Linked DNA regions of Canis lupus familiaris. The protein of the gene in region 2 interacts with the protein of the main gene of each other region in a pairwise test. Links are inferred from orthologs where the notes say so. Each region holds a gene or a part of one and is shown on either strand. Other genes may lie near its edges.

The links. The genes of interacting proteins can lie anywhere in the genome.
Region 1: the proteins of GOLGA2 (region 2) and DCTN4 interact in binary tests that used the Homo sapiens proteins (3 or more experiments, as listed by UniProt). The two-hybrid records come from large-scale screens. The link is inferred for Canis lupus familiaris from reciprocal best matches to the Homo sapiens genes GOLGA2 and DCTN4.

What each region holds. Positions count from the first base shown.
Region 1 is NC_049225.1:59,357,619-59,361,264, reverse strand, and holds part of DCTN4 (dynactin subunit 4), read right to left. Parts: intron 2,057-3,646; coding exon 2,002-2,056; intron 974-2,001; coding exon 866-973; intron 1-865. UniProt on the Homo sapiens protein: Part of the dynactin complex that activates the molecular motor dynein for ultra-processive transport along microtubules.
Region 2 is NC_049230.1:55,336,335-55,339,980, reverse strand, and holds the end of GOLGA2 (golgin subfamily A member 2), read right to left. Parts: intron 2,968-3,646; coding exon 2,743-2,967; intron 2,664-2,742; coding exon 2,588-2,663; intron 2,388-2,587; coding exon 2,299-2,387; intron 2,026-2,298; coding exon 1,816-2,025; intron 1,733-1,815; coding exon 1,630-1,732; intron 1,547-1,629; coding exon 1,440-1,546; intron 1,363-1,439; coding exon 1,209-1,362; intron 1,121-1,208; coding exon 897-1,120; 3' UTR 155-896; downstream 1-154. UniProt on the Homo sapiens protein: Peripheral membrane component of the cis-Golgi stack that acts as a membrane skeleton that maintains the structure of the Golgi apparatus, and as a vesicle thether that facilitates vesicle fusion to the Golgi membrane.

The sequences.
Region 1 (3,646 bases), on a different chromosome or scaffold from region 2:
CTTGCTGTATCATGCAGAATTATAAGTCAGTAACAGATTGCCCATTGAGTAAAGTTCTTGATCTAAAATTCCAAGTATTACATGAATCACCAAGTAGCAAAATGAAGAAAGGCTACATTTTACTCATTCAACTGACATTTACTGAAAATCAAAATCACCTATTTTAATAGTTGGTGCCATGTATACTGCATGTAAGCAGAGGGCAGCTAGAAGAGGCATACCAGCTTTTAAAAGGACATGCTGAAAATTTTCTATGGGTCTTGAAAACTGAGTATGGTAAGACTGAGAGGTGTGGGCCTGTATGTCAGAGAATGGCACTCTAGGTAGAGAGAGTAGCATCTGTAATTCTCCAGCATGAAAGTGCATAACCATTGCATCTGCTCGGATAATACGCATTAATATGTTTGATTTGGAGAATGCTAGATTTGGAGATCTGGGGAAAGGGCATCCTGGAACAACAGAGGGGAGACCGTGGAGGACCTCTCTAGCTATGCCAAAGAATGTGGATTTCCTCCCTAAGTCAGAGGAATGCCAAATGACCAGCATGCCATGATCAGAGATAGATTTTACAAAGGTTGCTCTTGTGGCAAAACAGACAACAGGCTGGAAAGGAAGTAAGGGTGGATTCCAAACAGGTCATCCCGAATGTTACTGGCACAGTCCAGGTAAGAAAGAACAAGATCTGCAGAAGGCAGCGGCAGTGTGATTGCGCATACAGCAAAAAAAACCCTCAAGGGGTGAAATCCAAAGAATTTGATTAGTGCTTGGATGTGGGAACAGAAGACAGTGTGGAGTCCTTTAAGCAGGTCAAAAAGTCCCTCCAGGGAAAGTCAAGGTCCCTCAGGATAAGGCAAAATGCTCCTACCTTAGCAGTGCTATTGACATTATCGGGGTCTCCCTCCTCGCACTCCAGCAGCGTCACATGGGTGAGGTTCTCCACTGGATTTGTAAGTGTCAGGAGGACCTGGCTCTCCTGGGGAATAGGAAAAGCCTGTCTCAGACATGTTCCACTGCTGCCACCTAGGTCCACCTTCTTATTGCTACACCAAGCATTTCAGAAAACCATTACAACCCCAGCCCCCCTTACTCCTAAGCAATAACACCCACCTATACCTCTAAGTCACTACATCATTCTCAGAGGGCTGGCGGATTCCTATTTTATTATTTATATATTGGGCTATGTGTGCTCTGGAGCTACTTAAATTACATGAGGAAATAGGACAGATCCCACAGAAAGAGCCAGGTACTAGATTCAGAAATTCTGAGGAATGTACATTATCTAAGTGATTAAAGTTTACAACTCTTGCTCCAACCAGTCCTCCATGTAAGGACTCCTGAGCATAACTTAGTCTGCTTAGTCTGAAAGTTCTCATAAATAAAATATGGGAGCTGCAGGGTAGCCAGATATTGAAAAAAATCATTCATTAGGACTCTAAAAGACTTTTAAGATTTCTTGACCCATAATTTGCTCGTTTTGTACTTTCTTGAGATTGCCAAAATCTTTCAGATGAACATGGATTACATAAATGTCTTCATAAGCAGCACAAAAGTAAAGAACTAAAGGGGCTGCTAGAGAATATTCTACAACCCCTGGGGCGGGGGGGGGGCAGGAGGGGGCACAGATAAGGAACTCAAAGAAGAAGAGCTGTAGTAAAGAAGAAATCTGGTTGATTCCTGGTATCTGACACACAGAAATGGGATGTGGAGAGTCTTCTGGCTGGAGAAGAGCTAAAGGTGTCTGTGGGGTAAAACATTTTCTCTCCTCACCCATCATTCCATCTTTATATAACGTGCACACTGCTCCTTCAAAATTTATGTTAAAGATGCTGCTGCCAAGAATCTCAGAATAAAGAAATTAAAAATCTCAAAACTTTTATGATTTCAAATTTTTTTATCCCTTGCTCCTGAATTTCATGCTAAATATACCGCCACCCACATACACATACACACACACATCTCTGATCAACCCTTAGTCTTCCTGTTAATAAGCAAAGTACTAACCTTCATGTAGCGAAGGTTGGGAATCGACATGATTCTCACTTCTGGGATATAATTGCTATGCGTGAATAAAAAATACATTAATGTTCATTGAAGTCTCTTAAAATTATCACTTTTTTAAAGCAATTGCAGCAAAGATTTCTTCCAGTTAACTAGAACATGTCACACAAAAAGAATCTTAAAGAATCATACCATCATAATGAGATCTTAAGACATGAAACCAACTGGTAATGAGTTGTCCTGAAATCTTAGGGACTCTATCATTTATTTTTTTTAAAGATTTTATTTATTTATTCATGAGAGACACACAGAGAGGGGCACAGACATAGGAAGAGGGAGGAGAAGCAGGCCCATGCAGAGAGCCCAAAGCGGGACTCGATCCCGGCACTCCCAGGATCACACCCTGAGCCAAAGGCAGACGCTCAACCACTGAGCCACCCAGCCATCCCAGGGACACTTCTATTTAGAGCCTATGTATCTCTGTGCATTATAGTAAATATCTTCCTTATACATTTGCTAGATAATTTTTGAGATTTTATTAATTCATTTCTGTAAATCGAAAAGGCAACTAGTTATAGGGCCCATGACTGACTGGGTCAAAGTACTACTTACCACCTACTTACCACTGTTATATAGCACTATGTGCAAGGTAATGTTTTAAATGCTTTAAATTTAACTTATATAATCTTCACTGTGACTGCATGAGACAGGTGTTATTATTATCACTGCCATTACTGAGATGAAGAAACTAGGCTTGGGAGAAGTAACTTGCTGGTGAGTGGTCAAGTAGCTCTAGGGTCTTTCCCCTTAACCACTTCATGTTTTGCTGCCTCCCTAAGTAAGACAACACAATACCATACTCACATGTGTTTAGTCTGAACTCAAAACCACCCAGAGTCAAATCCCAGTTTAGTGTTTATATACCTATTCTTTCCTCCAAAGTCAACAGATCAGTGTTTCTCAACATTCCTGACTACTGTAAGGACTTATTTTTAATTACTGCGTAATATTCTACAACCTGAGTGTACCTCAATTTAATCAACTATTGTTAATGGCTAACCAGACACGGGAATTTCTAGATTTTTGCCTTTTTAAAATGTTACGATACACATCCTTACATATATATCTTTAGATATTGGTGGTTTTGCTTCAACAGAATAGATTCCTAAGATAGTACTGCGGTTTAGTCTATGTAGTTTTGTCTTGATATTCCAGGCCACTCTCCAAAAAGACTAGCAATCCACAAGCCTACCAACAATGTATGTAAATGTTTCCCCACATTCTCAGGAGTACTAAATGCTATTTATTATAGCATATATTTATAGCATATATTTATAAACTTTTCCTATCAAGTACCAGCATCTATCCCTGTATTCACTAACCATTTGAAATTCCTCTTCTTTTTTTTTTAAGATTTTATTTACCTATGCATGAGAGAGAGAGATTGGCAGAGACACAGGCAGAGGGAGAAGCAGGCTCCATGGGGACTCAGGGAGCCTGACATGGGACTCGATCCCAGGTCTCCAGGATCACGCCCTGGGCCTAAGGCAGGTGCTAAACTGCTGGGCCACCAGGGCTGCCCTGAAATTCCTCTTCTATAAGCTGCCAGTTCAAATCCTTTTTTTTTTTTTTTTTTTTTAATTTTTTA
Region 2 (3,646 bases):
CAGCTCTGTTTGCTAGGCAGGCTCAGAGACACTGGGGCTTTGCACAATCCAGAAGTCTGCCCTCTGCTGGCAGGATCTGCTCCCTGTTCAATGCCCACAGTGCAGACTCCAGGACCTAGGGGCCAGTGACTGGAAACAGGCACACACAAGGCTAAACAGTATGGCTAAATCCATTTATTCCGAAATAAAAAGCAAACAGAAGTTGTGAGTCACCTGGGCGGAACCCCGTCCCCGCCTCCTTCCTCTGTCCTATGCTATCAATAAATAAGTTTCCTCATCCCCAAATATTTAATAGAACTTCCTCCCCATTTGCCAGTTCCAACCTCTGCTATGATACAGGGGGCTGCCCTATCCCCAGAATATACAAAATGTTACACAGGTACAGTATATACACTGGGGAGGGAGCCCCCCCCCCCACCAGCTTATGCCTTTGCCTGGCCTGGGTTAGCCCCAACTGTCCTAAGGCCTGGGAGAGTGCTGCCCAGTCATTGAGCTGGACAGGGGGAGCACTTGTTCCCCAAAGTGCCTCTGAATAGAGGATGCCTGAGCCCCTCTGAAGGACTGCTTGGTGGGGGTGAGGAGGCCACCAGGGAGCCCCTGCCCCCCAAGAAAGGGAGCCCTCTAAATAAACTATGTTTTTATTGAGCCTCTGGCTCTTTGTTTTTCTGGAACGATGAGTAGTCCAGATAAAGACACAGCCCTTGCCAAGGTGGCAAGAGGTCTGCACCTATTTGTCTCCCCCAATTAGGAGGCTTTTCACACCCCTCTCAGGGGTCTTATCTTGCTAGTTTAGGGATAAAAGGGTAACTGGGAAGGAATGATAGGGTGGCAGGGACAGGGTGGGAGCAGAGCCCCCGGCCCCACTTCTCCAGGTTTTGCTTGCTGGTGTCAGGCTCTTAGATCACCAGGATCTTCACCTCGTCATTGTCATCAGCCCGGTAGAAGAAGGGGACGCAGGGATTCTTGCTTAAACCTAGGTATGGCTGGGGATTCTGCATCTCCTGCAGAAGCTGCATGATTTGCTGTGCAGTGGGGTTCTCAGGGGCACTGTGGCCTGGTAGGGCCTCTCCCTGAGGAGGTGCCACATTATCATTGTCAGCCAGGCTCACCTCTCGAAGATCTTTGTGGGTCAGGGAGAGAGAAAGAAACAGGGCTCTGAGTGCTGTGCGAGCTCTCCCCGCCCCACCCACCCTGAGGGCTCTACTCACCACCCTGGCCATTGGCAGCACCAAGCTCTTGGGCTGGGGGTGCTGTAGCAGGCTCTGCTGCGGGGTCCTGGGCAGCTGCCAGGAGCTTGCCCTGCCGTTCATTGCGCTCGCTCACTAGGCATAGCACCAGTTTCTGTAGCTCCAGCAGCTTCATCTGGAAGGAGAGGTGCTGAGCACCCCCGAGTTCCACCCCTGCCCTGTACCACTCCCAGCGATGCTCAGGGCCCCTACCTTCATGTTTTCTTTGTCTTGAGCCAGACGGCTAATGTACTCCTCCTTCTCCCGGTGCCGTTCCTTCAGCACTGCCCTCTGATTCTGGTACAGGGCGATGTATTCTCCTGTGGGTACACGGGCTGCCGCTCAGGCTCTTGGACCCATCACAGGGCTCCCCCCACCCCCGGGTGCTGGCCCTCCCACTCACCAATAGTGTCTGTCTCTCCAGAAAGCTGGATGCAGCAATGCTCCAGCTCCTCCACCCGCTCCTTCAGCTCCACTTTCTCCTGCATGAGCTCCAGGAAGCGGCCCTGTGGCCAGAGCAGCAGGGTCAGGGTCAGGCAGCCCGCCCTGGTGGCCCCACCCTTCCAGGGCTGGCCAGCGACTGGCTCACCTGCAGCTTGTCCATGGCCACCTGAAGGGCCTGGTGGGTCTCCCCAGGCACACTGTCACCACTGGGGGCTGCGGCCTCCTCCTGCACCTGCTGGCCTGGGGCCACCAGGTGAGCCAGACGCTGGCAGCGCAGCTTCTGCTTCTTCAGCTGCCCGCGCAGCCGTGCCTGCTCCTCCTCAGCACTGGCTAAGGCCGAGTTAAAAAATGCCACCTGCAGGTGAGACATGTGTGTGTGCTCTTGTGGGGGATACTCAGGGTGACCAGGTGGCAGGAAGGCAGAGAGAAGCTCCTCCTCTCCTGGCCTTCGTGGGCACATCTGCGCTTCAAGGATGGTGCCGAGGCTGACCGCTGGGTCCCATGGGTTTGAGGGTTGAGAGAGGTTGAGGGAGGGAACCAAGAAGAAAGGAGGGTGCCCCTGGGAGGGGGTTACCACAGAGGGAAGCGGGAAGGTGGGACGAGGAAGGGGCAGCGGGGGTCTGCTCACCACGGCCTCTCGGCTCTCCAGGTTCTCTGGCATGCTCAGCTTTGGCTGGGCAGCCTCTTCTTCCTTCTCCTCACTGTCCAATCCATCTCCTGTCAGGGCAGATGGAGGGTCCTCAGACAACCCAACAGGGGAGGTAAAGCGGGCCAGGGAACAAAGCTTGGGGCCAGTGCATCCCCAGAGAAGAATTCACTGTCCTACAGGTCCCGTCACACTTGATTCTGTGCTGCTCAAAGTCACCCCTCCTCCTCCTCGGGCTCTGTCCTCTTCCCCTGGACACTCTCCTACTCACCTTCCCCAGGCATAGCCATGAGGCTCAGCTGGGCCTGGAGCTGCTGGTTCTGCTGGGTGGCAGATTCCAGGCGTCCCTGAGGGGCCAGGAAAGAGTGAGAAGGGATGCGGGTAGCAGGCCCTCCCCTCGGGGCCCAGTACTCGAACTCCCTTCACCTGGGTCTCCTGTAACTCTTGGAGGGCTTTCTCGGCCGCCACCTTGCCCTGAACTTCCTCATGCTGCAGCCGGTCCATGAGCTGAGTCTGCAGCAGCACCTGCTTGTGCAGCAGCTCCTTGTCGGAAGCCAGCTGCTGGTAGGCGGCCATATACTGCTGCAGGTGGCTCATGTACTGGTCCCGCTGCTGCTGTAGATTCTGAGCCTCCTGGCTCTTCAGCTCCACCTGTGGGAAGACCCAGGGACTAAGGCTGGCACCCGTGCTGAGAGGAAAGCGGGAGGCTCTGCGGCCCGCCCAGGCCCCTGGCTTCCTCGCTCTAGGACTTCAGTGACTGCCCCTATATCCAGGGACCCACACTTCCCTTACCCTTCCTCATGCCTCATGACCACCTTCTATTTTCACTTTAGTGGAAAAGCAAAGTGCGCCCATGGACATCTGAGTGCGCCCTGAATGCCTCACACTACAGGCATGCTTCTCATTTAATTCTTGACACCTGGGCAGCCCGGGTGGCTCAGCGGTTTAGCGGCCCCTTCAGCCCGGGGCCTGATCCTGGAGACTCAGGATCGAGTCCCACATCGGGCTTCCTGCATGGAGCCTGCTTCTCCCTCTGCCTGTGTCTCTGCCTCTCTCTCTCTCTCTCTGTGTCTCTCATGAATAAGTAAAATCTTAAAAAATAATAATCCTTGACACCTCTGTGAGCAAAATGCTAATATCTCTGAGGACACCTGAGGCTGAGAGATGAGAAGCGACTAGTGACTGGTGGAGCTGGGGGTAGCATCCAGGGCTGAATCCGAGGTGCACCATCTCTTGACCTCGTTAGGGGCCTGAGCTCTCTAGCCAGGACGAGGACCTTCAGCCCAGGGATACCCACTCTGTAGAGTCAGACAGCTGGGAGTGACAAGGG